Mus musculus: one gene and its partners. The protein of the gene in region 1 purifies or fractionates together with the protein of each later gene. This does not show direct contact. Links are inferred from orthologs where the notes say so. Each region holds a gene or a part of one and is shown in the gene's direction. Other genes may lie near its edges.

Region 1 (10,577 bases):
ACCCGGAGAAGGTGTTAAAAGGTAGGTTATGATTTGGTCGGTTCTGAGATTCTTGTTTTTTTTGTTGTTTTGTCTTTTAGACAGGGTCTCACCAGGCTGGTCTCATACTCCAAGAGATCCACCTGCCTCTGTTACTCAAGTGCTAGACTGAAGGAGTATGCCACTCCACCCAGCTGAGCTGAGGGGTTTCTTTGTTTGTTTTGGGGTTTTGTTTTGTTTTTGTTTTTTTTCAAGATAGGGCTCCTCTGTGTAGCTGGCTCAGACTCACAGAGATCCACCTCCAGAGCACTGAGAGTAAAGATGTGCACCCACCTCAGCCACCACAGCCACCAGTGCAGCAGGCAAACAAACTCCTGGCAGCAGGCTGTGAAGTGTGGAACTTGAGAGCCGTCCTTCTAGTGGGGTTCTTCTGCTGAAGGGGAGGCCTGTGCCTTAGGTGCGCACCCCACTGGCAGGGATCTGATTATTTAGCCCAACAATAGGCAACGACTTGTTTTGAAGGTCCAGCATTTGTTTTTAACATCATATTTAGGTTCACTAGGAAGTTTTTAACTTTAGTGTAGAATTCTCTGCCCTGAGAGTGGTTCCTTCAAATACCTACAGAAAATACTTTATACATATTAACCTATAAATATTATTTATCACTTCTTAGTTGAATTTTTAAACATATGTAAGGCCAAGTTTTGGCAACCAGTCATGATGTTTAACAGGCCTCCTGTGCTCTGCTTTTGTTTTCTTTCCCCTTGAGGTTTGAACCAAGTTTTTGCTAAATGTCTGGATCCCCAGTCTATCATCTGTTCCTTAAACATGTTTTCAGGCACTATAAGTCATCCCTCAGGATTTCTTACTTAATTTTCATTCTTGTTTGAATGAGCTTGGCTTATATTTGCTTCAGCAAACATTTGTTATTTTGTATTGGGAGTTGAGTTTATACAATTTAGGTTGATGTTTGTTCCTAAAATTGGATGTATTGAATTTCTGTTCTGTGCCATTAATTCTTTCTTCAGAAATCATGTGAGTCACCCTTGCAGAAATTCTTTCTGAGTAATAGAGGTGTGAGAATCTTTCCTTTAGGAAGTGCTTACATTCAGTACTTTATATGATTGTCAGTTTCAAAACAAATTAGTTCCCTTTTCTTCTACCTGTTGGAGGAAACCCACTTCAGACTCCTTGCTCTAGAATTGAGTAGTTTGATCAGAGAGGCTATATAATTAGTAAGTACTGTTGGCTTCCTTTATAACCCTCTGCCTCTACCCTTTTGTTTTGATGGAGCCTTGATATGTTGCCCAGATTGGCCTCAAACTCTTGTTCTCCTGAACTCAGTGATGTATACCTCTTGCATACTGTCTGCCTTGCTCATTCTGCTTTTTATTGTAGTGAGTCAGTGTGTGTGTGTGTGTGTGTGTGTGTGTGTGTGTGTGTGTGTGCACATGTATATATGTGTGTGTGTGGGTGCATATGTCTGTGCATATGCCAGGGCATACCAGTTGAAGGCAGTGGACAATTGTGGGATTGATTTTCCCCTACCATGTGGGTCGGGATTAAATTAGGGAGTCAGGTTTGGCACCTCTGTCCACTGAGCCATCTCACTGCCTCTCCTCCCTGTTAAACTCAGTGCTTCTTCTGCCTTCCTTGCTCTGTTCTCAACCCAGAACTCAATTTTGAACCCAAAGATATTTTCTACTATGTAGTGCTTTTCACTTCAATAAAAATAACTACATAGCTACGATGAAACCTTCTTGAGCTACTTAACAAGTTTCTTCCTGGAAGAAAGAAGGCTAAATAACGTGAGTTTTTTTATTCTTTGATTTTGCTTTTGTATAGGATCTTGCTATGTGTCTTTGGCTGGTCTTGAATTCGTGGCAAGCCTCCTGCCTCTACCTCCTGATTGCTGGGATAACATGTACCACTACCCCTGGTTTAAAAATATTTCCTTTCTCTTTTAAAAAATTGATGGTACTGGGAATTCTACTGCCTGCTACAATTGAGGCAAGGACTCTCATCTACCACTAAGTTATATTCCTGGAGAGACTTGATAGCTATGTTCACCTTCTTGTATAAGGAAGAGACACACTTTCTCTGTAGAGTTAGGGCTAGAGAGACTTGACTAGAGAACCTAGGATGATTGTGAGGGACTAGAGGCAGTGGAGGCCATTCTGTGTATATAGTGTGCTTCCCAAGGCCTTGACGTTGAGACTGGGAACTGTCTCCATATGTACTCGGGCTGTGTGTGCTAACCATTGTAGGAAGCTTAGCTTTTCAGGTCTTGCTGAACTGGAAAGGCAGAGTTCATTTGGTTGACTTTTACTGGACTTGTAGATTTTGACTCTTTGACACTGTCTTTTTATGGAGCCCCCATTTGCCCATGTTCTTTGCAGATAGGATAGTATTTTCTCATTTCTTTTATGTGCCTTTAAATGTAGACTTTGGTGAGTTAACTTTGTGGGCTCTGACCTCAGGTGACCCCCCCCAGCTCTATAATTTTATAGTATCATGTCAAGTTCTTCACATCCCAAAGAGATGGCTTGGGAAACATGTTTTATATAGTTAGGAAAGTTTTCGGCAAAATATTTTGTGACTTATTTTGGATTTATGGCATGAACTCAGCATCAGGCTGTTTGGAGCCCTTCTGCTTGACTGGATCCTGTGTGGATTTTATCCGTCCATTCCATCAGCCACAGTCCCTTTTCGTCCATGTGCTTGTTTTTCTGCTGGCAACACAAACAGTGGGCATGGGGTATGTGTCTATGAGATACTGCTTTCTTTGGTAAGAAGTTGTGGTTTTTAGAACATGCTTAGCTGTCTCTGGGCTCTTCTCAGTTCCCAGTCTCAACATTTGTGTGAGGCAGAAAACTTACTGTAAATATATCATTAGATTTTGTTAAACTCTCTGTGGCCTTAATGGCAAGAGAAAGAATTTATTACACCATCTCCATACCTTTTATTAGTGTTCTTGAAGCTGGTTGTGCTGCAAGCATCTTGGAAGTCATTGAATGGTAAACCTATTTTACATTCTGATTATTTCCCGGAAGTGATAGAATGGTACAGTCTCTTTTCCAGGATCTGCGGAGGAATTGCTTCAGAAGCTGCTTCAGATTGCAGAGAAAATCTTAAAAGCGGGCTGCTGGCAGCTGTAGGCACTCAGCCTCACTGCAGTGTAATAGCTCCTCGGACTTGTGCTGTTTGAGTTTTACTTCATTTGAGAACAACCAGGATTTGGGAGCAGGAAGGGAGTAGGGAGTGTACTTCTTTATGGCTTGCTTGGGCTGTACCTGCTTTTCTAAGGGAGGGCTCCTTTAGGCCCCACATAACCTCTGCCGGCCGCTTATTATTTTTATTTTTTTCAGTCAATATTATCAGCTTGAAATGTTTTAGGACCTTTAATAAAATACAGGTCTCAGCTAACTATAAACCAACCTGAGTGTGGCTAATCTCACAACGATTGCTCTTTTCCTCTTTTAAAGCATTTTTAAATCCAATTTTTCTGCATCTTAAGACTCTTTTATACGAAATTATTTTTTTCCTATCACCATTGTTGAATCCATCTTCCTAAAAGGTGTGTTTGGTTCCTCTGCCCACGCTATGGTTAGCCTTGAGTCTCTGCCATTCCCTCCACCTTTTCTTTGTGAATTTGTTTTTGGCCATGAAAGATAAACTATTTTTGAATTGTATACTAATTTCATAATGTCAGAAAGCTTTGGTGCTGTTTTCTCTGTGTACACGGGCGTTCTTTAGAGTCGTGGATCTCACCTCCTGTCCATCTTTCCCCAGGTTGCTAGGAAGAGGCTCCATGTTTGTGTTCTCACCAGATCAGTTTCAGAGACTGCTTAGAATTAATCCGGACTGGAAAACCCATAGACTTCTTGATTTAGGTGCTGGAGATGGAGAAGTCACGAAAATCATGAGCCCTCATTTTGAAGAAATTTACGCCACTGAGCTTTCTGAAACAATGATCTGGCAGCTCCAGAAGAAGAAATACAGGTACCAGTTCTAGAGGGTGCCAGGCGTGCCTGTTGGGCATTTCTTGGGTTTTGATGTATATGTGTGTTGGGTTTTGGTCTAGTTTGTTTGTAGCACTGGGAATTGAATGCAAGGCCAGGGACTCTACCTCTGCATGTATCCTAGTGATAAGAATCAGGAGCAGTTTTCCATGGTTAAGAATTAAACACAAATCAGTGGGAAACCGGAAAAAGGGAATTTTCCATGGCAGCATTTTTCTGAAGCAGAGGACTTGGCATCACAGAGAAGATAGCATAAGTAAGAGACAGCTTGAGGTAGGCAGATGTGAGGACATGACCTCATCAGTGACATGTCCAGATGTTTTATATGCTTTAAAAAATTTTGGTAACATATATGTGATGTAAAATATATCCCTTTAGTCATTTTTAAGTCTGTAATTAGGTCAGCAGTCATGGCACGTTCGTGTTATCCATCTTCCCTAAGAACAGTCTGAAATATCATCCTGCACTCTTCCTTCCTCTAGCCTGTAATCACTGTTGTATTGGCATGAATCTGACTACTCTGTGTACTGTGTCTTGGAGGAGTCTTAGGAGGACTCATGGCTTACTGCACACCCCACACAGTCTGTGTTAGGGATGTTTGGGGGTTGCTTCTGACATTTGTCTTAGGTCCTTTTCTTTTTGTTTTCTTTTTCTTCCTAAGAGGGCCAAGACATACCAAGGGGTAGTCTTGGCTGTACTGGAACTCGTTCTGTAGACCAGGCTGGCCTCAAACTCAGAGATCTGCCTACCTCTGTCTCCTGAGTGCTGGGATTAAAGGCGTGCACCACCACCAATTTGTCTTAGTTACTTTTCATTGCTGTGCTACCAAGATGACTTATACAAGAAAGAGTTTATTTGGTTCCCAGTTTCATAGGGTGAGCCTGTGACCAATTGACAGGAACTTGGCAACCGGCAGGCATGACACTGTCACAGTAGCTCAGACACACATTGCGACAACAGCCATGAAGGAGAGAGAGAAGCCTCAAATCCTATCTCCAGTGAAACCTCCTTAAACAAGACCTCCGAGTCCTTCCTGAATAGTCTTACCAGCTGGGGACCATTCTCATTCAGACCACTACAGCCATGCCAAATGAGTAATATGTTCTCTTGGGTATATGCCTAAAAGTGGAATAGCTAGATCACATGTTAAGTCTAGGGTTTTTGTTTGTTTTGTTTTTAGATATATTTTATATGTATAATGTTTTGCCAGCATGTATGTCTGTGTACCATGTATGTGTCTGACATCCACAGAGACTGGAAGAGGGTGTTGGGAATCCCCTGGAGTTACAGATGATTGTGACCACCATGAGGGTACTTGGAGTTAAACCAAGGTCCTCTGTAAAAGTGCTAAGTGCTCCAAACTGCTGAGCTGTCTCTCCAGCCCCTTAAGTCTGTGTGGGGTTTTTTTTTTTTTTGAGAATTTACTGTATCTTCTCCACTTTATTTATGTCCCCACTGACCAATTTCTTTACACCCTTGACAGTAGTTGGATTTCATGCCCCACACACACTCAGATGTCAGTAATGATGGATGTAAAGGGTCAAGTTCAGGTTACAGACCACTTGGTGCTTGAAAGACTTATGAAGAGTATTTATTAGGTATGAAGTCTGTGTTCCGAGACTTCTTAAGAAAATGTGAGAGACCTCTCTTTGTATATTGGCTTCTATAGCCAATTTTTCTACTCTGGGTTCTTCTTTTTCCTACCCTTTATCTCCCTCCATCCCCCAGTTTCACCCCTTATAGCTAGGTAGGAGAGAAAGAAGGATGGGGGGAGGGTCCTTGAATAATTCTTTTCTTGTTTCTTTGTAGCTGGTCTTTGCTACTTTGTGCGTTCTCACCCCACCCCCCATCCTCTTTACCTCTATCACTAGGTAGGAGAGGAAGAAGGATAGAGGGGGAGAGATAGATATCTCTTTAATATTTAATTTCTTGCTTTTTACTTTGCTTCTTCATTGAGCACAGCTACTAACAAACCACAAACAACCACCACCCATACCCACCTATTGAGGTATTAGCATTTATATACCCTCTGAGAAGTTTCCAGAATGCCAAACATCACACAATTGTACAAACTATCTGCAGCTGGCAAAACTATGTCCCTGCTAGAGCACAAGGCAAATGGTAGTCAGTTGCTGTGAAGGAGCCCCATATCCTCACACCTGGGCTTAAAAGGAAAACATATTCTTATAAGATTTCTGTGTTTTTAAAAGAAACCAAAATTCCAGAATTCTTTCTACAGACTGGTTACACATGTGGAGGTGGGACCTGCCCCTGTGGTATTTGGAAAGCCTTGGACAGAGATTTATCTCCCCACTGACTTCTGTGAGTGTCTCTCACTTAGACTAACCTTAGTCAAGCATCTGTGCAGCTCTGGTGGGGCAGGAGCAGATTGAACATTTGGAAAACACGGAGAGTTTTAGTCTAGAGAAAGGACAGACCAAGGCTGGTGGTAGAAGGACGGATTGCTGTGAATACTTAATGAGACTTTAAATGGAAGGAAGAGGTAAACGTAGACTCTGCTCTATCAGGCACAGCTGATTCTAGAAGTTGAGTTGTGGATAGAAACATCAACCTTTCTCACCTCAGTGTTAAATAAGTGTTTGGGATGTTATATTTGAAGGACCTTATGTAGAAGTAAGTTTGAATGACCGCATAGTCTACCTTGGTTTCATCCTCAGTTTCTATCTTGGTAAACCTACATGGTAATAATTAGAATACATTACCCCTCCAAAAAGAAGTTAGTTTTTGTCCTTTGTTATAATGACAACTTATAGGTTTCTAACCTGTCCCCATATCTTCCTACTGAATTAAAACAAAACCAGGGCCAGTGAGTTGGCTCAGTAAGAAGGCTGCTTGCCACAAAGTCTGCTGCCCGAATTTGATGCCGGTTACCATATGGTGGGAGGAGAGGACTCACTTCGCAGGTTGTCTTCTGAGCCCCACGTGTGTGCAGTGGTACAGACATATACACAAGTGTAATAAAAACTAAAAACAATGCTTACAGTGGTCTGGGAGGGAAGGAGGGTACTGGCCTCTTCATTTACTTTGCCTAATGAGAATATACTAGAGAATGGAGTGTACAGATGGCCATTCATGCTTAGCTGGGTAGGCCACAGGGCTTCTTTAAGGAGTCACGGTCAGGCTTTCCCTCACCTTACATGGAGAGGGCCAGCAGCCTTACCTGAGGAACATGCTAGGAGAGGCTTCCAAGTTGTAGTTTCTGTGCTACATTGTGAACTTGGACAAGCCACTCCTTTCATTTTGTCATAAAAGGAAATATTCCAGCAACTCACTAGGATTCCTGAGTACAACTACTAATATATCTTAAAGAATGGAACTGAGTTTACAAACACAGCTTTAAAAATTAAGGGTGAGCTTGATCTGCTTTCAGGAAAGTTGAACTGTTACAACATCAGACCCCTAAGTGTTGGTTCAGAGAGCGTCTTTCTAGTTTTTAAAACTAACGCAGAAGCCACTTCCCTGCAGCTGAGAGTTGAGGTGGATTAAGTTGAGAGGTTATCTCAGTGACATCTGCTGCTGCTTCACGTCTAGCTTCTCTTCCATTGCAGACCTAAGGTTATTGTTTTGTTTAATCAAATGCATAACCTGTGCTTTTAAATTGTTTGGCTAAAGCATTATACAAGTATTTCTTTCATCGTTTATTTCATTGTTTAAGAGTATAACTGATGACATTTTCCTGTGAAAGCAGAGACTGTTCTGTGTGTCTTTAATGAGCTGAGCGCAGCTTCTGAAGTCGTTATGCAGCAGTCTCACGGGATAAAGTGCTTCTGAAACTCCACAGTGAGATGTGTTCAGGAGACACTAGTGCAGACACACACCTGTACAGCAAAGGAGCTGCCTGCTTTCTTGGGTTGTTATAAGCAGTCTTAGTGCTGGGAGACGGAAGCAGGAGCTAGTGTGAGGCCAGCCACGGTTACACAGCAACTTCAAAACACAAGTTAGAGAGACAGGGAGAGAGGGAGGGACGAGGAAGAGGAGGAAGAGAAGGAAGAGAAGGAAGAAGAGGAAGAAGGAAGGAAAGAAAAGGAAGGCAGGCAGGCAGGCAGGCTGCTGGCTGGCTGGCTATAAGGCAAAATACCATGGCCTGGGGATCTGGCTTAGTCAGTACAGTCATGCTTATTTGGAAAGCAAGCATGAACACTTAAATGCAGTGCCCAGTACACGTGTGAAAAGGTAAGTACAGTGGCAAGAACTTGTAATCCTGGCACTATGGAGACAGTCAGGAGACTCCCTGGGGCCCACTGGCCTGCACAATGTAATTATTGAGTTCCAGGCCAATGAAAGCCCCTGTTTCAAAAAAAGAAAGAAAAAAAAAAAAAGGTGGCATCTGAAGAATAACACCCAACATTGACTCCTGGCCTCTATAGTTGCCATTTTTTCCTTACCTGTCCTTTGTATAATTGTAAATGTAAATTATAGGTGCATATTTTGAGTACACATTGATTTAGAAGACAAAGTTATTGGCCTTTATTGGCACCTTAGTTTTTGTTTTTCTTTTTTCAAGACAAGAGTCTCACTCTGTAGCCCTGGCTGTCCTGGAACTCACTCTGTAGACCAGGCTGGCCTTGAATTTACAGAGACCCACCCGACTGCCTTCCAAGTGCTGGGAATAAGGCATGTACCCTACTCCCTGCTCATCTTAGTTATTTTAAATGTTGTCGCTAGGGCTGATTAAGAACACTGGCTACTCTTCTAGAGGTCATGAGTTCAAATCCCAGCAACCACATGGTGGCTCACAACCATCCATAATGAGAAACAAATTAAAAAACCTATGGGCAAGAGCAAGAGGGAAAATGGAAAGGGGTGAGGGGGATGGGGTAGGGGGAGTTGTCTCTAAGTGGGAGAAATAGTAACCAAGTTCTTTTTGATTTTTCCAGAGTGCTTGGTATAAATGAATGGCAGAATACAGGGTTCCAGTATGATGTCATCAGCTGCTTAAATTTGCTGGATCGCTGTGATCAGCCCCTGACATTGTTAAAAGATATCAGAAGTGTCTTGGAGCCCACCCAAGGCAGGGTCATCCTGGCATTGGTTTTGCCCTTTCATCCCTATGTAGAAAACGGTAAGTGTGGGCAGGCCAGCTCTTCTCAGAATGACAGTCTATTGGTATTTGCGATTTTTATCTCATGAACACCTACACATGGTCTAGTGTTGCTTAGTTACCTGGAATTAAAGATAATACAGCTAGCCATGTGTAGTATCACCGTGGTTAATGCTTATTGTAATACAGATTTTACAGCATTCTGTACGCCCCTGGCACTGTGATAACTCAGCCTCGGCTGCATCAGTGCCTCTGTATCTGTGCTCTCTGCCTTTCAAGGCAGCTTGAACACTTATGTATAAGCCAAGTCAAGCAGCACATTCCCTCTTAGTCTGCTAGTAGATATCTGCTGAATGTCATGGCTGCTTTGTTTTACATTTTGTAACTCTTGTCTCAGACTCTAAAAATGATGAATGTTCTGTTTTGAAGACATTCATGTTCTAGTAAGTAGCATTTCTTGAATAACAGGCTTTTTAAAACATTTATTATCATTTTTAGAATTGTTTTTGTGTCTGTGTGTGAGTAGAGCATCTGCAGAGGCTGGAAGATAGCCCTACGTGGGTGCTGGGAATGGAACTTGGGGTCCTTTGAAGGACCAGTGCATACTCTTAACCTTGAAGCCCTTTATCTCTCCAACCGTTGGAATACGGTTTTGTAAATTAATGGTGCTGCTCTTCAACAGTATTGATTGAGGAGTGCACTGGAAGAGACAGGTTCTTTCCTGACAATTAGCTTCTGATACTCACTGTGAACTTAATACCACAGTAATCCATAGTTTAAGCTCAGGGGTTTGCACTTTAGGTTATCTTGAAGATGATGGCGCTAATGCTCTTCTGTATTTTAATAAATTAATGTACATTTATATAAAACTTGTTACGCATGCTAATATTTTTAAAGTCTTTTGTCTTTTTACTTTCGAGACAGTCCTCATGTAGCCCAGGCTAGCCTCAAACTTACTGTGTAGCCAAAGATGACCTTGAATTTTTTATCCTCCTGCCTCCACCTCCCCTGTGCTAGGATTTATGTGGTGGTAGAGATCGAGCCCACAGCTTCCTGATGTTTGGCAAATAAAATAGTCTACCAATCAAGTTGTATCTGCAGCTCCTAGTTTTCTAGTTTTAATGCCCAGATTGGACATTTGCTCAGCTCTCAAGTACTTGCAAACATTTTAAAGGAATTCCTTACTATTTTGCAAGTGTTAGAGCCACTAAATACCATGGAAACCCATATTTTAAGGAATAACATTCCTTTTTTTTGTGATTGTGGAACATTGTGGATTTATGTTGCTGTGTGCACATATGCTTCTGAATTCTGTTCTTGACCTTGCTGTTCACCCATGGTCATAGTCCTTCCTTCCTTCTTTCCTTTCTTTTATTTTCTCATTATTTCTTGTTTGTTTGCTTGCTTGCTCATTTTGGAGACAGGTTCCTGCAGCTTTAGCTGGTTTGAAACTCATGACCCTCCTGTTTCAGCTTCCCATATGCTGAGATTTACAGTGGTTAGGTCACCATGCC
Region 2 (10,677 bases), on another chromosome or scaffold:
AAAGTATGAAAGAAAGAACAGGAGTTGGCACTGGGGGGGGGAGGGGGCCTTAAAGAAAAACATACAATGTTTTTATGGACAGCTGATAGCTTTAAGTGTACACTTCCTTTCACATTCCTACATTTTCAATTATTTTATAAAAGTATACCTTCATTCTCCATGAAGACGTAGAACAAAGCTAACACGTGAAACAAAAGCCATGTGTGCGCTATTGCTCTGGATGTCCCTTAATTTGCTCTACCTCTCAAAAAGCCCACTGGAAACTACTTCAGAACTACTCAGGCTAAGTCTACAATGCAGCCATTTCCCCTCAACCCCAGAAATGGCTGCTGGTTCCCCCACTGAACTCAGATGGGGCAATGGAGAAGCACATGGACAACCTAAGAAAAATCTACATGGCATCTCGTCTTGGAATTACAGTTATGTCGGCATCAGAGGCACCCAGAAACAGGGACCAACTGAAGACAAAGCAGGTTTACACATGCCATCTCCCTGGAAAGCTCCTGAGGACCCACACCTGAAGTTGGCCTCTGACCCCCACATACACAACTGTGCATGCATGTGCACCTTGCATGAGAATATTCACATCCATGTGTGCACCCACAAACTCATGGATAGGAAAAAAAACATGAGGGGAGCTGACCGAGGCAGAAGGATATGGAATTCTGGCCAGCCTGGGCAACATAGTAAGACCCTGTGACTTCCTCAAAAGAAAGGGAAATAGGACTGGAAATACAGCCCAGGAATCGACTGGCTGCCTAGCACTAGTGTGTGCACACATTGGAGAGGAGTGGGGTGTGGATAGTTTAGGGGAGAGAGAGAGAGAGAGGATAGGAGGCTAATGTATCCAAGGAAGAGTGGCTTCAGAGGACTGGAAACCTGACAGAAACAGGTTGAGAAGCAAAGAGTACATGCAATCACCGAAAATGTAGTAATACTAAAGGGAAATGTTACGACTCTAACCAAATCAGAAGCATCGGCTGACTTCAATCCGAGCTCTGCCGCAGGTGCGAGTGAGTCTGTTCACACATGCCATTTTTCCTTGTTCTCTACGCTCCACAGGAACAGAGCCGGCTCTGCTACCCTTGCCACCGTTTGGCATTCCATGAAGAAGTTGCTGCCAAAAGGGAGGTGTAGAAATATTTGGTGAGTTGGTGTGGTATGAGCACTCACACTCGCCATGTTGGGGAGGCGGAGGCAAGAGGCTTGCCATGAACTCCTGGCCAATCAGACCTCCAAAGTAAACGCAAGACTCACCAGGGATGCATGGCAAGACCCTGTCTAAAACCCAAAACAACGAGTTGGAGCCTTGGCTCCCTTTGCTGGTCTTGCAGAGGGCATGGATTTGGTCTCTCGCCGGATGGCTCACAACTACCTATGACTCCAGTTCCAGGGAGTCTGGTGCCCTCCTCTAGCCCCCTCGAGGGCACACACGCATGTGCTGCACATACAAACTTCAGGCGCTGTACCCTTTGCTTCCCTTCTGCTGTGATGAAGCACTCAGACCCAAAGCAACTTGAAGGGTTTAGCTTACAGTGTGCATACAGTCCATCGTTGAGTGGAGCACAGGTAGGACCGGAAGCAGAGGCACGAAGGAAAAGGAGCACTGCTTACTAACTTGTTCCCCAGGGCTTGCTTAGCTGGCCTTCTAATGCCACCCACGACTGATGGGTACGATTCTCCTACAGCGATCACTTAGAAAATAGCCCACAGACTTGCCTACTGGCCAGTCTAATAAAAGCAATTCTTCCACTGAGATTATCTCGCCCCCCCGCCCAGGTGACCCTAGTTCATGTCAATATGATCAAAATCAAAAACAAAAACCAACCAGCTCATAGACACAGGCAAATTTTCAAAAATAAAAATTTAAAATACCTCTTCAAAAACCTTCGATTTTGTTGGGCCTCCTCACCTGACCCAATCACTCTACGCCAACAGTTGCTCCCAGATGTGAAGATAACAATAAATAAACATAATACTATGAAGTCTCCTGCGGTTGATGCCCCCAGGGTTGGAGAGATGGTTCCGTAGGTAAGAAGGTTTACTGCTCCCGTGGAGTACACAGACAGGGGTTCACAGCAATCTACAACTCAACAGCCACATGGAGGCCCACAGCAATCTACACCTTCAGATCCTGGGGAACTGGCCTTCTCGTCTGACCTCTTTAGGCACCAGGCATGCACATGGTATGCACACTCGTAAGCGAGACACTCCTCTACATAAAATCAATTTTTAAAAATGTTCCCCACAGGCTCATACACTGGAGCTCTTGGTCCCCAGCTCGTGGTGATGCTTGGGTAGGTTTAGGAGGAGTGACCTTGCTGAAAGAAGTATGTCGCTAGGGATGGGAAGACGTTTGAGGCTAAAAAGCCGACTTCTGGCTTGCTCTCTGTGCTTCAAGCTTGTAGTTGAAGACGTGAGCCCTCGTCCTCCATTTCCTGCCACTCTGCCTGCTGCCACCGTTCCTCGTCCTCCATTTCCTGCCACCGTTCCTGCCATGACAGGCTCCTGACCCTACGGAAGCATAAACCGAATACCCCTTCTTCTGGAGGGCACCTAGGCCATGGTGTTTTATAACAACAGAAAAGAAACCCATATACATGATGAGTTTAAAAAACAACAAGATCCCAATGAAACACACACACACACACACACACACACACACACACACACTAAAAACAGTCGCAGTGAGGCTATGTTGTATTGTCAGTCTTTTACTTGCTTCAAACAGGAATGTGTGCGTCTGTAGCTTCTCCAGACTGTACCTGCCTCCCGGCTCGGCGTGTAGCGTGAAAAACCTTTACTGAGGTCTCAAGTAAGAGTGTCAACCCCTAAGGTTTTCTCTTTCTTCTTCCCTTCCCTTCTCCTCCCCTCCCACCCCCCCACCCCCTCTCCAGGCAATCTTTTAAACCCTGAGGCTTTCCCTGTGCTGGGAAGAGCACAGGCACTTGCCACCAGTCTAACTAAAAGGTTTGTTCCTTGTTTCTTCTGCTTCTGCTTCTGTTACTTCTTCTTCTGCTTCTGTTACTTCTTCTTCTGCTTCTGTTACTACTTCTTCTTCTTCTTCTTCTTCTTCTCCTTCTTCTTCTTCTTCTTCTTCTCCTTTTAATTTATCAATATGAAATGACTCACAAACTCTTTGCCAGCCTTTCCTGTTTATCAGATGCTCTTTGGAAAACCTCCAGACTTTAACATGTTACACTGTCAGCTGAGTCTTGCTCTCAGCTTGCTAACTACTCTCTACCACAGATTAAAGGTAAAGCCTTTGCTAGCTTGCTCACATACATGTCACTTGGACTCTTTGTGTGTGTTCAAATTCAGTAGAATAGTATCAACTAATTATGATTTGTCCTTCTGGAAACCCCACTTTCTCCTTCAAATCACCAGTCCAAACCTCCCTCAGTAATAATAGCTAACACTTACTGAGTAATACTAAATGCCACTCACATTCCCTCTGAACAGCTTTATAATATAGATATTACTATTCCTACTTTCCGGAAAGGGGGTGTGTGCCTATAATGCCAGCACTTGGAAGACAGAAGCAGGGAGACCAGAGTTCCAGTCCGTCCTTAGCTATATATCAAGTTGGAAGCCAGCCTAGGCTACATAAGACCTTGCCTCTATATAACAACAACAAACGACGAACGGGAGGAAAACTAAACAACAGATAGGTCAAGTGACTACAATTGTTTATTTCTTTTCTTGTTCCTTTTGAGACAGGATCTCACCTTGTAGTCCTGGCTAGCTTAGAATTCAGTATGTAGACCAGGCTGGCTTCAAACTGCCTCTGGCTATAATTGGGATTAGAAGCATGCGCCACCATGCTGACCAAGATGTCCACAATTATTGAGACTCAGACCAATAGAGACCCAGGTACCTGTAAAAAAATAGCTTTTATATAGATATGTCTACACTAAGTAATATCATTTCAAAGACAGGATTGAAGAAAATCAATATTTTTAGAAAGGGAATAAAATTGTTTACAATAGCACACCTGTAGCCCCTTCCTTCTGTGTTCCCTCTCACACACTTGAGCAGGTTAGCCTGTACTCCTGCCCAACAATTAAATCCACAAGCAGTTGCCTTTCTCCATTGTTTTAGCCTCCCACTCTGCGTTATCGTATCATCAGAAATCCAAAAATAATAATCTCTTTGTGGGAGTCACAGGCACTTCAAAAAACTTTTAGCTTTCTCATTAGAAAAAAAAAAAAAAAAAAAACAAAAAAAAACCGTTAATGCACTTGAGTTAGCAACGCCTATATGTGGCTCACGCCTGAAATTCATCATCCAGGTTTATGAGGCTAGCCTGGGCTACATGCTGAGTTCTAGGTCTATCTGGGCTACAAAGTGAAGCCGTTTAAGAAAGAAGAACCCTGAAGCAAAGGGCTAAGCTCTGTTTGTTAACACAAATATGCATTTTCTAGGGGACCATCCATCCATCCCTCGAGCGAGGAGAACACGCTGTAGCCAAGATGGACCTTAGGTGGCGCTGCAGGGACCTCTTAGGGGCTTCTCTTGAAGACGCGAGGAGGGGGCGGGTCGAGCGGAGCCTTCCCAGCGGTGGGAGGAGCCTGAGTGAAGCGAAGCCACGTGTCCACCAGCGCGCAGGCGCAGGATTGGTCACTCCCCCGGGAGTGAGGGCTGCCGGGGCGGATGACGTGGCCCGGTAACGTTCCTGCCCGTACGGCCTCCGGGGAACGGCGCTGCCGGAACAGCCCGCGGCCTAGTCCCGCCCAGCGTGCGTGTGCCTGCTTGCCGAGCCCGGGCTAGCGGCGGAGACTGCCGAGCTTGCGAGGACGCTGCTGACATGGGGGAGTGACGCGCCTGCGCCCGCGCTTCCGCAGCGGCGGCGAGCCATGAGGAGAGCCCGCGGCGCGGGCAGCGGCTCCTGAGCCTGCATGGAGGAGAAGTACGGCGGGGACGCGCGGCCCGGGCCCGGCGGTGGCCTCGGGCCGGTGGACGTGCCCAGCGCCCGGTAAGGTGGGATTCCACGGCCGCCGGCGGTGCGGACAAGCTTCCCGCCTTGCTCGGACCCCGCGGGCTACCTCTGCGGTCCGTGGCTTGAGATCGGCGAGCGGGCGGGAGTCTGGGCTCGGGACGCACTGCCTGCCAGGTTCCAGTCCCTAGAGAGAGAGGATCTGAATGTCCCTCCCTGCCACTTAAGTAACGCAGGGCTCCGTAGCCTGTCCCACGGCTCGCCCAGAGGATATGCGCAAGGTGTCACCGTCTCAGGCGAAGAAACCAAAGTACAAGCCGATGAACTTGGGTATACAGCACAGCAAAAATGCAACCCTGTCATCGAGTTTTCGTTGCCGTGGTTTTGTGGGGAGAGGTGGGGGCTTATTCTAATAGTACGAAATGTACGTTCCCCCTCTCCCCCAAAACTCATGCCGTACGGGGATTCGTAGCGTGGAAATTCTTTACTTTTCCTCCAGCCTAAATTATTTTCCTTTTCCTAAAGCCTCTAGCCAGTTGTGCCCTTAGGTCCTGTCCTAAGTTCTGAGGTGGTGTTAAATAAAGCCCAACAATTTCGTTCAAACTGGTTAGCAGTATGTACGATGAGATTTCGTGATTGTTTTTGAAAAGGTTCTTAGACCGTGGTTACAGCGATACCAGCTAACTTTTGTCTGGGGGGGTGGGGGTGGAACCCATATGCCGAGTAGAATTTAAACCAACTGCGGGATTTGCAGAATGCATTTGGTTTTCTGTCTATTTTCAGCAATTCATTTATAGCATGTCACGTGTCAACCAGTGACCATAAAACAGCTAGATGCAGAAGGGGCTAGTGCTATGGTTTGGTAATAAAGGGAAGTAATAGAAGGGACAAGACTAGGTCAGGTCACAAAATTGGACTATGGAGACAGATTAAAGTATCAGATCTTTGTTAAATTTCCTGTTGATAACTCCAGATTTCATAGCAGAGTTGCCATATTTTTAGGAAATACAAGGGTAAAATGTGATATACTTCATTTACTCTCAAACAGTTCAAGGATGGGGGGGGGGGGAGAGTGAGAGTATAAATAGTTTAAACGTGGTAAACATCCTTTGCCAACTTACCTGTATTATTTGCTTGGCAGAGTTGCCCTTCTATCGTAGGTTATTACAGAATTCAAATTTTGACTCAGAGCTGGCTGAATTTCAAGGGATTTCAGGTTTCCAGAGTTTTCTGTATGCTCGAGCACTGGATCTTAACTGCAACATTCGAAATGATCAGATCCTTCCAGTGTGGTTATTTTTATGCCTGAGTGCACAAATTCCAGTGGTCAGGGCTGCCAGCATTTGCTGAGTACCTCCTATGCCCCAAAGACTCTTAGTGTATAGATCCCTTTAGTCTTTCCAAGAACACTACAAGCTAAGTAGTAGTATCCTTGTTTGATAGGGCAGGAAACTGAGTTGCCTAAGGTCACACAACTAATGAATGACCTGGCAGTCTGAGTTGTTTCAGAATCTGTGTATTTACTATGCATGCCTTCTGTTTACACCTATGAATGCTTGAATTCATTGAATTGAACTAGTATTATTATTATTATACATCAAAATTATTTTTGAGACAAGATATTATACCATGGTGTCCACAACTGGCCACCTCCTTCCTTAGCTTTGCAAGTGCTAACATAGGCCGCTGTACCTGGTCAGCAGCTTTGCTGTATATGTGTGTGAATTATGTGCTGGTATGGCCTGTTCCTTGAGGCAGAGGCCCTCTCTGGGCCTGGATGCGGCCTAGCAGCCTCAGGCTTCCCTCTGCCTCTGTAGTGCAGTGACTGACACCCTGGCCTTACGTGAGTGCCAGGGGCTCACGCTCACACACGCAGCAAGTGCTTATGTGTGTACATTGTTTGGGCATATTCTCCCTCGTACCTGCCCCCATGCCCTCCTCCTCTCTTGATATCTAGAGACTGTGAGTGGCAGCAGTGGACACATTTCAAGAAGGAACTATAAACTCATATCCAAAATTTAATAATTGCGAGTTTAGAGACCTGAAGAAATTTCTAACCAACCACATAGAAGACCAGTTATATTTTTATTTGGTCACTTAATAGCAAGCAGTGGTTCCTGAGTTGGGGAGCTGGGTTGAATGCCCCAGCTCTGCCCAGAGGCTCAGTAACCTGTATAAGAAAGTCTCCCATCCCTGTCTTCACCTACCAGTCATTTCCCCCCTTAATATGAACTGCGGTGTTTCTGTGTATGGTTACTTAGCCTTAACTAGTCTTGTCTAGATGTCCAGCAGGAAGTTGTAGTAACTAGAACTTTGACAATCAAAGACTGCAGACGCTTGAGGATGTGGTGGCACACAGCTAATCCCAGCACTTGGGAGGCAGAGGCAGGCGATCTCTGAGCTCCAGGCCAGAGCTACAAAAAGAAGCCCTGTCTTTAAAAAACAAAAACAAAACAACAACAACAAAAAAAAAAATCCAGGAACTAGCAAGACAGTTCAGCAGGTACAGGTCTTTACCGCCAAGACTGATGGCCTGAATTTGACCCCTTGGACCTGTATGGGAGGAGAGAGCCAACTCTGTGAGTTTCTGACTTCATATGCTCTTATGCGAGCACACATGCACACACACACAAATAATAGTAATAATAATAATATATGTAATAAAGGAATTTTTTAAATCAAAGAATACTATATTTAAAAGTTGAAGTAATTTTTCTAATTTGATAATTATAAGCAGAAAGCTCTTGAGTTATGTGCATGATTGTAAATGTGGAGAAAATATTTGTTGACAAACATAGGAAAAGGTTTGTAAATTGTTTACCTGTGAGGAGAGAGCTAGAAGTGATTTTTTTAAAACCTTTCCAATAATCAGCTACTCAGGAATTAACGTTATGACCTTTGGGGTGCTATGCACATATGTGTGTATGAAAATAAAGTTGGCTTATTAATACTAATATATCATGAGCATTTTACATGAATAGCTTCATATCTCTCATTCAAGACCTAGTTTTTTTATTTTTAATACGTTATATAGAAGTCTATATTCTTTGTAAAACAAGTATTTACATGCAGTTTGACTTTTCCTTGATTTTAATCATAAGCAATCTACTGCTAAATTAGGCTAAACTAAATTGGCTAAATTGAACTAAACTAAATGCAGTAGGATCTTCAAGGTCTCCTGCCCAATGCTCGTATTTTAGAGGTGTCTGTCAGCTTACTTGGGAAGCGTAGCCGGTCTGCTTGCCTGTTCTTTCCTGAAGACCTGGAACTCCTTGAGGACAGGGCCTTGCGTGTGTCTTGGTTATTACACAGAATCATGGAACTGGAGAGGCTTGGATAGATAGGGATTCTCCCGCATAAAAGAAACCGGATTGCCCACAGTGCCCCACCCCCACCCCACAGATGAATTCCTTATGGTTCTTCCCTGCTATTGTTTATTCTATATTAACTTTTATAGTTAGACTTATTAAATGGATACAGCATCTTTAGCTAAAAATTTTTAAATTACTTTTTAATGTATTTGGGGTTTGACTAAAAATATAAATAAAAATGTAAATTTTAGGTAAGTTAGATAAGATGGTCATGAGTTTGAGATTGGTCTGTACTACATAGTAAGATCCTATCTCAAAAAGGGGGATGGTAATAAAAGGTTTTCCTTTAAGGCAGAGATAAGGTAGACTAGCTCAAGGCACTCCTTTCCCTGTCAGGAGAAAGAGGTGAGGCTGTGCCTGAAGCTACCCAGGCCTGGGTTGAATATTCCATGCTCACTTAGTGCATGTTGGATGCTACAAAGGGCCATGAGACCAAGGGAAGTCTGGCAAAAAGAAAGCAAATCTTTCTGCTCAGCTTCCCAAGTAACTGGGATTACAGGCATATGCCACCAGGCCTACCTTAGACATTAATATACGTTGAAAATAAACCAGGAGTATAGGACCCAAAGTTTTAGCAGTAGTTAACATGTGGATGGTGGGTTGTTTGGAGAGGGTTTTTATTGTTTTCTATGTGTTCATGTGTATTTCTGTAGTTTTTATTATGGGTATTATGAGAGGAAAATAAGATTACAGTGATCCTAGTGATTTCAATTATATTAAAAATTGTTCCTGTTCTTATTTTTCAGATTAACAAGATACATTTTATTGCTGTGTTTAACCAAATGTTTGAAGGCTGTGGGACTTTTTGAATCATATGATCTCCTAAAAGCTGTTCACATTGTTCAATTTATTTTTATATTAAAACTTGGGTGAGTATGGAGAGGGCCTTAATGGTTTTTGTTTGTTTGTTTGTTTGTTTGTTTTGTTTTGTTTTTCGAGACAGGGTTTCTCTTTGTAGCCCTGGCTGTCCTGGAACTTACTCTGTAGACCAGGCTGGCCTCAAACTCAGAAATTCACCTGCCTCTCCCTCCCAAGTGCTGGGATTAAAGGTGTGCACCACCATGCCTGGCTCTTAATGTTTTTTATTTCTCTGAAAATCCTCTTTTGACTATTTTTAAGAAATCTTACTTATATGTTCTGTGAAGTTTATTTCTTCTGACAGCTAACTGAATTTTTTTTCTATAAATAGAAGCTTGTACAAGAGTAGAAGTATAGAGACCTGTAGAAAAAGTTATTTCAGCTGAGTGTAGTAGCCCATAATCCCAGCACGTGGGAACTTTAGTCATGAGGATCATGAATTAATTGGAGGCCAGCCCCAGTTACACAGTGAGGCTCTGTCCCAAAAATAAAGTAAAAGAAGTTAGTTGAATTCTAATGACTTGCCAAACAGGCTTTTAGTTCAGTTTGTATTGCTAAGATTCTTGCAAAGCTCTTTTAATGCCTTGCTTAATAGACTGTGTGGTTCCTATCTGTGCTAGCAATCAGTCTTTTGTAATGTCTTGTATCATTTAATTTCATAGAAGATGAGGGTTCCCTCACACTTCTGAGGACAGATGTAAAAAAAAAAATGGAGATGTTGTATTTTCATAAAAGTGATTTTGACAGGCTGGAGAGATGGCTCAGCAGTTAAGAGCACTGACTGCACTTGCAGGGGTCCCAGCCTCAGTTCCCAGTATCTATCTGTGTGGTTCATACCTGCCTATAATGCCAGCTCCAGAGTTGAAATTCTTCTGGCCTCTGTGGGCATGGATCCACATATGTAGACACACACATACACATAACTAAAAATAAAGTAAATCTTTAAAAAGTATATACTCCCTGTGGAGTCGTAGACTATCTTCTGATGTAGCTCAGTCATGAGGCAATTATTAAAATATTACCTAAGCTTGACTTAGTACAGACATTTCTTTCTTTCTTTCTTTCTTTCTTTCTTTCTTCCTTTCTTTTTTTTTTTTTTGGTTTTTCGAGACAGGGTTTCTCTGTGTATCCCTGGCTGTCCTGGGGTAGACCAGGCTGCCCTTGAACTCAGAAATCCACCTGCCTCTGCCTCCCAAGTGCTGGGATTAAAGGTGTGCACCACCCTCGGCTAGTACAAACATTTCTTGTTTCCAAGTTAGATCATGCTGGGCTGTGCCCCCTACATAACCTCGTCAGAGTACGGGGCCCTCATGTTCTGTAAACTGTACAGTTTGTGTGCCATTTTCTTCCTCAGTAGAGGCTTATAGTCCTTGAGATGAATAGTAACCCACTCTGTGCTAATACTCTTAAGGCTGTAGTTTGCCAGGTTAGGAAAGAGGTTCTTGATTAGAAAAGTTAAGCATTTGTATTTAACTGACAGTAAAAAGATGAAGGCCTGTTACTGTTTTATTG
Region 3 (10,677 bases), on another chromosome or scaffold:
CCAGGTCACCTGAGACCCTGTCTCTAAGCAAGTAAGTAGATAATTAAATAGATAAGGGCCAAAGAGGTGACTCAGTCCCAAAAAGGTGCCAGATGCCAAATCTGATGACCTAAGTTTGATCCTTATACCCACATTGTAGGAGAGAATAGATTTCTTGAAGGTGAGGACAGCCTGGTCTACAGAGAGAGTTCCCGGTCAGTCACAGAGAAACTCTGTAACCCTGTCTCAAACAACAACAACAAATCAAAAGGAGAGCTGATTCTCTTGCAAGTTGTTTGTTGGCTTTTACACTTATGCAGTGGCAGTTGCAAACGTACCCTACCCTAACATAAAGTTTTAAAAATTTGTGTGTATGCATGTGTTTATGGCAAGGTTGTAGCCAAGTGGCAGATTGCTTATTTAGTAGGCACAAGTGTGGGTGTGGATGTAGGGGAAGGAGAGGAAGGGGCTGTAGGAGCAACTGTGTTCAAGATCAGTTCTGTAATCCCAGAATTAGGAGGCAAGTTCAAGGCCAGTCACATCTGCACATCCTGTTTCAGATTAGCCAGCCCTCTACTGGAAGATCCTTCTTCTTCTTCTTCTTTTTTTAATATTTTTATTAGGTATTTTCCTCATTTACATTTCCAATGATATCCCAAAAGTCCCCCATACCCTCCCTCCCACTCCCCTACCCACCCCTCCCCCCCACTTTTTGGCCCTGGCATTCCCCTGTACTGGGGCATATAAAGTTTGCAAGTCCAATGGGCCTCTCTTTCCAGTGATGGCCGACTAGGCCTGGAAGATCCTTCTTCAACAAACAACTGGAAGCAGAAGTGTTTAGTGAGGGAAGGAAGAGCACGCATAAGTCAGGTGGCTCCAAGGGGAAGGACAGCTTCCATTGCAAGTTCCAGGTTGGAATGGCATAAGGTGAGTTGGTATTTCTTTTCTTCTTCATGTGTCTTTGACATAGCTATACGTGTGTGTGTGTGTGTGTGTGTGTGTGTGTGTGTGTGTCCTAAGGAGGCTGAGGCAGGAAGATTTCAAATTCAAGGCCAGCTTGACCTTTATAGTGAGCTCTATCAAGAAATAAAAACAAGAGAGCCAATTTAGATGCCTCAGCAGGTAAAGGTATTTGCCACTGTGCTGACTAGTTTCATGTCAACTTAATACAAGCTAAAGAAATTTGAGAGGAGGGACCCTCAATTAAGAAAATGCCTCCATAAGATCAGGCTCCAGGCAAGACTGCAGTTTTCAAACTGTAGGCTGCTACCCCTTTGGGAGTTGAAAAACCTTATCTAAGACCATTGGAAAGGGCAGATATTTACAGTTTATAACTGTAGCAAAATTGCAGTTATGAATTAGCAAAGAAAATAATTTTATGGTTGGAGATCACCACAACATAAGTAACTGTATTAAGGGGTTGTGGCATTAGGAAGGTTGAGGACTCTACTACTTCAGGACTCTCTTAATGATTAATGGGTGACGTCCCAGCCCATTATAGATGAAGCCATTCTTGGGCTGGTGGTCCTGGGTTCTATAAGAAACCAGGTTGAGCAAGCATGGGGACAAGCTAGTAAGCAGCACCCCTCCATGACCTCTGCATCAGCTCCTGCCTTAAGTTCCTGTCCTGACTTCCCTTGAGTTGAACAGTGATATGGAAAAATAAACCCTTTCCTCCCCAAGTCAGTCATGGTGTTTTATCACAGCAATAGTAACCCAACTAAAAGGGCCACTAGGCGTGAGGACAACCTCAGTCTAATCCTTAGGAAACACGGGTGCAAAGAGAGACTTGACTCTTGGGAGTTGTCTTCTTCTCATACATTCATGACATGTGTATATACACATGAATAGTTTTAAAGAATTATTCTAAATTTTATTTTTATTTTGTGTGTATGGTTATTTTGTCTGCACATATGTTTGTGTACCATGTGTGTGCCTGGTGCTCACGAAGGTCGGAATTGGGTGTCAGATCCCCTGGTACTATAGTTACAAACAGTTGTGAGCTGCCATATGAGTGTTGGGGATTGAAGCAGGATTCCTTTTAAAAGAAAGAAAGAAAAACAAACAACAACAACAAAACAGCCAGTGCTCTTACCCACTGAGCTATTTCTCCAGTCCCAAGAACATTATTTGGTTAAAAAAAAAGAAAGAATAGGGTGGTGGCGGTTCACAACTTTAGTTCCAGCACTTGGGTGGCAGAGACAGGCAGATCTCTGAGTTGGAGGCCTGCCTGGTCTACAGAGCGAGTTCCAGGACAATTAGAGCTATACAGAGAAACCCTGTTTCAAAAAGTAAAAAAGAAGACAGATAGACAGACAAATAGACATGTATGAAATTATTGAAGGATAAGTAAAAGAAAAATTTCTAACAAAACAAGGGCATGGTGCACATGCCTGTGACCCCAGTGCCGTTGCAGGCAGAGACAGGAAGTGCAATGGGGCATGCTGGCTGCCGGCCTAGTTCCAGGTACAAGGAAGAGATCCTGTCTACAGTGCCTCAATGGATTCAGGTGGAGAGTGATAAGGACCTACTAATCTTGCTTCCATATACACAGACATATGCAAGTACAGCACACTCATGGAGCCCTCAAACCCACACAAATTATAATGAGAAAAGAAGGAACAAGTGCAATTAAGAGAAAAGAGGGGCTGGAGAGATGGTTCAGTGGTTAAGAGCACTGACTGCTCTTCTGGAGGTCCCGAGTTCAAATCCCAGCAACCACATGGTGGCTCACAACCATCTGTAATGTGACCTGATTCCCTCTTCTGGTGTCTGAAGACAGCTACAGTGTACTTACATATAAATAAATATGTTGTTTTGTTTTGTTTTTTTGTTTTTCGAGACAGGGTTTCTCTGTGTAGCCCTGGCTGTCCTGGAGCTCACTTTGTAGACCAGGCTGGCCTTGAACTCAGAAATCCACCTGCCTCTGCCTCCCAAGTGCTGGAATAAAATATATCTTTAAAAAACAAAAAGACAAAAGAAATAGCTCCTAATTTAAAAGGTATAATGAAGCTGGAGATGGGTGGGTTCTCAGTAATAGTTTAAGAAGCATCTCAGCGAGTGAAGATTTCTTACAAACCATCGAAACTAACTCACTCTCAAGACCATTAGGCTGTAGATTTCTTACAAGCCAGTAAGAAAAGCCTAGAATAGAAAAATTGGACAAGCTCCATGAACAGACAATTAAAAGGAATCTACATGATCAGTGCAAAATGTTTAATGAATCTGTGATAAAATAAGTTGTATTTTCTACCAATTAATTTGACAGGGCCTGATTAGTGTGTACAAAGAAATGATCAATAGTAATGTAGCCAGTGAGAAAAAAAAAACTGGGTGGAAACATGAGTACTGTTGCTTCAAGTAGGATCAAATCAAGTAAGAGAGATTGGGGATGAAGACATTGAGAAAGAATTAAGACTTAGAGACTGATGTCTAACCACTTATATTTTTGCTGACTGTTCAACACCAAGCTTCTAGAAAATTTTAGATAAGTAATAACTTGTGTTGGATGAATAAGCTATCTCTGATAAATAAGGCTCATCAATTCCTGAAGGTCTACTCAGGTTAACACTAACTGACTTGAAGGTATATGCCTAGTCTCTTTGTATTTGCTAACTTTGTTAAGGTTTAGCTGTTTGGATAAACTGAAACATAAAAGAAACTTGTAATATTCTATAATGACACACCATGAACAGACCAGAAGACTGACGTTCCCAGTCTCTTTGTGGACAGTATAGTTTAGAGCCATCATGTCCTCATTTTTATTAAAATTTCACATTTATTAATGTATGTATGTGAATTTGTATAGAGGTCAGAGTACAATTCAATCTCTTCTTTCACCACGTTGAGTTCTGGGAATTAAATTCAGGCCATCAGGTTTGGTGGCAAGTGTCCTTACCTGCTGAGCCATCTCCATTGCTCCCAAAACATTTTTAGTATATGGATCCCCCAAATACCTGAGAGTCACTTTTTTGCTCTTCTGTACAATTTTCTCATCTCAAGAACTTCCTTCCAACTCCACCTACAGAAAATTTGCATATCTATGAGGTCCAGTTCAAGTCTTTGTCAGTTTAGACAGAAAAGTTCTGCCTCAACTCCTCTACTCCTTCAGTACTGACATATTTTAACACCTCTCTGCAGAAGTCGATTTTTTGGCTTTCTTAAATTCAAGGCCATCTTGGGTAACACAAGCCAGAACTCAACCTAAGTAAATTTAGAATTTTTTTTTAAATTATGTGTACTGCCTGTGCCAAGCTGGCTTCAAATTTTCATTTTGAACATGCTCTTTATAAGGCAAATAAGGAAAGCAATTTCTCTTCTTTAAAATTAGGGAGAGAGAATTGGCGGTTACTAAATTGACCCAAACATCAAATCCTTACTGCCTTTCTCTTGGGGTGGCAGGAACAAAGCTCGTTTCACATGTAGAAAAACCTGCTGTTTCTTTCCACATTATTCAAAGCTTTGGGTCACCAAATACAACCCGAGGCGATCAGGATTCTCAAGGATCTAGCCAAATCCTTAGCCACTTCAATCTTACAGCGTTATCAGCATATTGAAAAACGAGTGGGTTATGAAAAGGCTATTTTAAATCTGCACATGGCATCACCCTTTTCCTCAACTCTGTCGCTTAGGTATGTCTGATTTTAACGACTAAAATCAGGAAACAGCACGGGCACATGGGAAAGTGACTCCATGTGGCTTGATTGTGAATCTAGGTAGTGTTTTGTTAGGTAAAGAGGTCTCAGGCTCCTGAGCTCAGGGCGATGACTCCGCAGGAAAGGCGGTGTCTGCTACCCAGAGGGATTTCACTCACTGCGCAAGCACACCGCCCGACCTCTCACCATTTGTGATGAAGGCCATAGGTCCCAGGCGGGGTTGGGACAGAGTTCCTAACTCAATGGGTCGGAAAGCCGTCTTCTGGATGTCCAACACACCCGCCCTGAGGGACTAGGGCGACCCACGCGAGAACGCGTGCCAGATCCGTCCGCCCTCCGCGGCGCGCGCCCGCCCGTTTGGTGACGGCCCGCCTTCCTCCTTCATACCCAATCAGCAACCACTTCCTGCCTCGCTATTGACCAATCACCACGCTCCACGAAGAATAGCCCTAGGGGGCGTATGGGAAGGCGCTTCGAGCGATGGCTGTATCTACCAATAAATTCTTAGATCTTGCGCAAAGGGGCGGGATCTGACGTTCGTTTTAGCCACTCAGGAACGAGGGGCGGACGCGGGGTTGGGCTTCGTGCGGTGGGGCTCGCTCGCGCGGCGGCCGTAGCCGAGGCCTCTTAGTTCTGCGGCACGTGACGGTCGGGCCGCCTCTGCCGCTGTCTCCACTGCAGCACGGGGCCGGGTGTGCGGGTGGGAGAAGGTGAGGGAGCCGCCAGTGGTCCCCGGGAGGCTCGAGGTGAGACGGGAAGCGTGTGCGGGGATCTCAGGCCCGGGACGAGCCTTGGGGGACTGGGCGAGCGGCGCCGTGGCGGAGGGGGTCGGGCGTGGCTGTAGGCTCGACGACTGAGGGGTCGGGCGGGCTTTCGAATGGCGCAGGCCTGGGCGGACGCGCAGGGCAGTGAGGAGAGCGGCCGGGTTAGAGAGGCTAGCCTGGGCAGCGCCGCCGGGGTCGGGAGGCGTGGCAGGTGTCCTGGGGTTTCCCTTGACCTCTGAGAAAGCTAACAACTTCCTACGGCTTTGCTTCTAGAGCTTTCTTAGGCCCTGGCCAGGCCCACCCAGAGGTGGGCTGAGTAATCCGGTACAGGTGTGGTATTAGAATTCGGCCTAGTAGGTAGCCCAAATAGCAGGGAAAGGTGAAGTAAATCCAGAGATAAGCGTTACAGATTAGAAAATAACTTGCCCAAAGGGAAGACTGGACCATAGCATCCTGATGAGGGAGTAGAATGTACTAGAACGTGTACCGCTTGAGAAACTTAAGGCTTAACTATTAAAGCACCTGCCTATTCGGTGGTGGATAGATAGTAATCCAGTGTGGGTGTTCACAGGACCTTAAGAGCAGGAGATACAAGCGAAAGTTCAGTTAGTGAGGGGAGGAAACTGAGGCCTAGAAGTTTGAAATGACTGGCCCAAGGTCATACAGGTAGTTCTAGTCATCCAGTTGGGATTGTAACTGAGCACTAGACCGTTTGGGTTAAAAGTCCTGGTTCAAGCACCTAACTGCAATTAATCGGGGGAGTGGGAATTTGGGAGATTTTTTTTTTCTACTTTAGGGCTCAGTCCCCAGGAGTAGACAGAATGACTGATGGGCCTTGTATTGAATTCCGAGGGAATGGGAATGAGAAATTGGATGTGTAGTAAAGGTTCAGTGGGTAGGAATCGAACTGGCTTCTTGAAATCCGAATGCCTTGGTCATTACACTGATACACTAATGTTTATATTGAAGGCCTGTGTGCCAAGACCTGAGGACACATTGATGACACTTTGTGTATTAACTGCTGGTCATGACACTAGTGATTGCATTGCTAGTTGTGTGAAGTTAAACCAAACTGAATACTAAAAGCTTGGCAAAGTTGAGCTACAGTCTCTTTACCCTTCAGAAATGGAAGAATCTGCCTGTTTTTTAAAAATAATTTGCCCTCCCACCCCTTTAAAGGGGGACAAGTTGGGTTACCTTAAAAATCTTTGTATATTTTCCAGTAACCTTTGAAAGGGCATGAACAGAATCAATTCTCATGTTGTACTTATACTGTAATTAAGCTTACAGGCCAGGCAGGGGTACACTACAGGTGAGCCAGGCCCTGAAGAACTGTATATAGTAGTGAGCCATTCACAATAGGAGTTTACCGAACTGTCTGTGAATGGGTGTCACCTCCTTGCTATCTTAACTCAACAGTGCAATTAACTCCTTAATCTTTCAAGAGCCACAAGGCATGTGCATCTTGACAACACACCTTGCATCCTTGTCCTGCAGAGGTCACTTGCCCAGTAAGAGAACTTTGAGGGAGTAGAGTGGCAGTTGCTAAGAATAACTGCAGAAGACTGTCCAGCATGATAACTTTAATTCCTATCCTTTAAAAATGGGAATGAAAGAAAGAAAGAAAGAAAGAAATGGGGATGAGTGTGCTACTTGCTTTGCCTTTGAGAGGGCAGATACTAAGAAACTGTTTGGGAAAGTGTAAGGAAATGGACAAATAGTATTGGCAGCTCATAAAAAGTCCTAAGAAGTAATTAAAGTGCCAAAGATAGTTGTAGTCTGTATAGCTTACTGTAAAACTCATTAGGAAAATGCTTGTTAAATGCTTTGTTATTGCTACAAATGCTAGGAAAGAATTTTTAGGCTTATTTAATTTTCTGTGTATGTGTGTTTTGCCTGCATGTATGTCTGTGTACCATGTGTGTGAGACCCATCATATTGGTGCTGGGAATCAAACCTGGGTCCTCTGGAAGAGCAGCAACTATGTCTTCAGCCCTGAAATTTTTCTTTTTTCTTTTTTTTTTTTTTTAAGGAATCTAGACAATTTTTATATTGTATTCTTGTCTTTAAAAAAAATCATTTTAAGATTTATTTAGGGCTGGAGAGATATCTCATCGGTTGGGGGCACTGGCTGTTCTTCCAGAGGTCCTGAGTTCAATTCCCAGGAACCACATGGTGGCTCACAGTCATCTCTAATGAGAGCCGATGCCCTCTTCCGGTGTGTCTGAGGACAGTGTACTCATATACATGAAATAAATCTTTAATATGTGTGTGTGTACTATGTACATATATATATATATTTAAAAATATGTGTATGTTGGTGTGAATATATATGCAATATATTATTCATGGGGGCCAGTAAAGGGCATTATATTCTCTAGAGTTGGAATTACAAACAGTTGTAAGCTGCCCAACTGGGAATTCAACTCTTAATCACTGAGCCATCTCTCCATCCTGCGTATTCACATCTTAAAGTGAATTAATAGGAAAAAGTTTCTTTTAAAAAAAATCACTTATTAGCTGGGTGGTGTGGTGGTGGCTCACCTTTGATCCCAGCATGAGGGAAGCAGAGGCAGATTTATCCCTGACTTCAAGACCACCCTGGTCTACAGAGTGAGTTCCAGGACAGCCAGGGCTACAACAGAGAAACCCTGTATCAAACAAAACAAAACGAAACAAAAACAAAAAACCCACCACCACCAAATTACTCCTATGTTTCTGTTAATGAAAACAAATCCAAGAAGGTGGTATATAATTCTTGGCCTAGGCCCAGGGTTCCATTCCCAACACATGAAGCAGAAACCCCCAAATATGACATGTGAGTAAGGTATAGGTCTCATTTATAGAGCAGGTCACACTGTTTCTCAGGATGTTGTTCTGTCTTTGTTATCCTACCTCATCCCCCAAATACTGAGGATGGACTCTAGAGCCTTGAACTTAGCAATTAGGAAAACACCACTACTTAACTATCTCCTCACTGTAAGGTGATCTTGAATTTCTGAGTTCACTTAGTCATCCAAATTCAGCCTCCCAAGTAACTGGGACTGCAGGGGTATGTAATCATGCATACTTTTTAAAAATTATTTTTTAATAGATGAGCATATAAAGTTGTATTTTTCCCCATTAAATGTAATTCTCAGAAGATACTTTATCTTTTGTTTGTGCATGCATGTGCCATGGCATTTGAACTTGTATGGAAGTTGGTGTGATATTTCTGGAATTTTTTTTTTCAGTATGGGTATTAGGGATTGGACTCAACCTGTTAGGCTTCTTGACAAGTGCCTTTACCCTCTATGCCTTCTCTCTGGCCTCTAATCATGCATTTCTATGTGTATGTACACATGAGTACAGAATCCCCCAGAGCTAGAGTTAAAGGCACTGGTAAAGGATTGTAAGCCACTTAATGTGGGTATCAGGTCCTCTGCAAGAACAGTAAGCACTTTTAATTTCTGAGCCATCTCTCTAGCCCATGTTTTAAATGTTTGACAAGGTAGTAGTAAAATCTGAAGGCGCGCGCACATACACACAAAAATAGTGGAAAGATGATAAGAGAGTCAGGGCACTTGCTGCCAAGCTAGAGTTCTATTGCTGGGTGTCACTTGTTGGAAGGAAAGCACTGACTCCTGGACGTCACCCTCTGACTTCCACATGTGTACATCCACAAAATAATAAATACAACTAAGTGCTTATATTTCTCCCAAAATAAAGTTTAGAGTATTTACCTTAAAATTCATTAAAAATCAACAAGTAGCCAGGTAGTGGTGGTACACACCTTTGATCCCAGCACTTGGGAGGCAGAGGCAGGTGGATTTCTGAGTTCAATGCCAGCCTGGTCTACAAAGTGAGCTCCAGGACAGCCAGGGCTACACAGAGAAACCCTGTCTCGAAAAACCGAAAAAAAAAAAAATCAACAAGTAGAAATAGTATCGATATCTAGTAACTGTAGACAGTCACATTGAGCGCATGCTGTAAAACAGGTCTCATACGCAGTTCATGTATGTTTAACCTAGTCAGCAGTTCTAGAGCAGAAGTTAGTGTTGGTTTAGAGAAGAAAACTCAGGCCCAGAGATTAGCAATTGACCCACATTATTAAGTAGCTGACCAGAAATCGTGATTTGAATATGTGTTTATAAACATATTTCTGTCTATGCTCTTGGGCAGAATATATAAATAGTGATAGAAACTCTTAGAGTTTATATGGGGTCTTTTAGGCCACCTAAAGTATTACCTGCCAAGACCTAATTTTTTTTTAAGACCAAAAATTTTTAATAGACTATGTCAAATGAGGGCAGAGGAGATGGCTTAGATGGTGATGTGCCTACCCTCTTGTGCAAGCATTAAGACCTGAGTTTATATTGTCAGCATTCAGCGCTGGGGACTGGAGACAATGGGATGCTAAAGCTCATAGGCTTTAGGTTCTCTCAGACCCTGTGTCAAAGAATAAGGTGAAGGGAGATGGAGGAAGACATCAGGTCTGTCCTTTGTACACACAAGCCTTCACATAGACTCACACCAATAGTATGCTGAAATGAATGGAAGGAATGTATAGCTTACATAGAAATCACATTTTAAAGTTTCCATGCTATTTCAAAAATTACTTAGTATTTATATTAGAATAACTAAGAATATTAGATCATCTTACTATCCCTGTGATTTTCATAAATGAAAGAAATTAGAGTTGAGGTTTCTTTTTGTTTGAGTTTTTTTTTTCCCCTCCCCCTTGTTTGAGTTTTGAAACAGGATTATACTACGTAGCCTTGGCTGATCTGGAATTCATAGTGTAGAACTGGCCTCAAACTTGTGATAATTCTGCTTCTGCCTCTATTAGTATTGGGTTACATGTCTGCAAAACCAAATTCTGCTTGAATTTGTTTTTTAAATTCTAAGAAGTAAAGTCTTCGATGGCGGGGTGGGGGGAGGCATGACTAAGTGGTTAACAGTACTAGGTGGTCTTCAAGAGGACCTGTCTAGTTCCTAGCACCAACATGGTGACTCAAAACCATCTGTAACTCTAGAGCCAGAGAATTTGATCCCCTCTTCTAGTCTTGTGGCACTATGCACATACATGGTAGGTAGGCCCACATGCAGGCAAATGAACACTCATGCATAAGAAATTTAAAAAATAATTTATTTTTTAAAAAAGTACAAGCATTGGGCAGTAGTTGTATTATACAGGTCTGTAGACTGGAGGAGGGAGAACTGGATGTAGATGATCTGGCCGGGGTCCCCCAGAAGCTGGAGAAACTACAACAGTTCTCCCTGACAGGGCAGGTTACTGT

Evidence for each region.
Region 2: the proteins of Mettl9 (region 1) and Slc30a5 purify together in Homo sapiens (co-immunoprecipitation; 3 studies listed by BioGRID and IntAct, with this or other methods). This does not show direct contact. The link is inferred for Mus musculus from reciprocal best matches to the Homo sapiens genes METTL9 and SLC30A5.
Region 3: the proteins of Mettl9 (region 1) and Canx purify together in Homo sapiens (co-immunoprecipitation; 3 studies listed by BioGRID and IntAct, with this or other methods). This does not show direct contact. The link is inferred for Mus musculus from reciprocal best matches to the Homo sapiens genes METTL9 and CANX.

What each region holds. Positions count from the first base shown.
Region 1 is NC_000073.6:121,048,316-121,058,892, forward strand, and holds part of Mettl9 (methyltransferase-like protein 9 precursor), read left to right. Parts: intron 1-3,771; coding exon 3,772-3,981; intron 3,982-8,899; coding exon 8,900-9,084; intron 9,085-10,577. UniProt on the Homo sapiens protein: Protein-histidine N-methyltransferase that specifically catalyzes 1-methylhistidine (pros-methylhistidine) methylation of target proteins.
Region 2 is NC_000079.6:100,827,399-100,838,075, reverse strand, and holds the start of Slc30a5 (zinc transporter 5), read left to right. Parts: upstream 1-4,648; 5' UTR 4,649-4,898; coding exon 4,899-4,975; intron 4,976-9,053; coding exon 9,054-9,176; intron 9,177-10,677. UniProt on the Homo sapiens protein: Together with SLC30A6 forms a functional proton-coupled zinc ion antiporter mediating zinc entry into the lumen of organelles along the secretory pathway.
Region 3 is NC_000077.6:50,320,196-50,330,872, reverse strand, and holds the start of Canx (calnexin precursor), read left to right. Parts: upstream 1-5,199; 5' UTR 5,200-5,380; intron 5,381-10,677. UniProt on the Homo sapiens protein: Calcium-binding protein that interacts with newly synthesized monoglucosylated glycoproteins in the endoplasmic reticulum. It may act in assisting protein assembly and/or in the retention within the ER of unassembled protein subunits.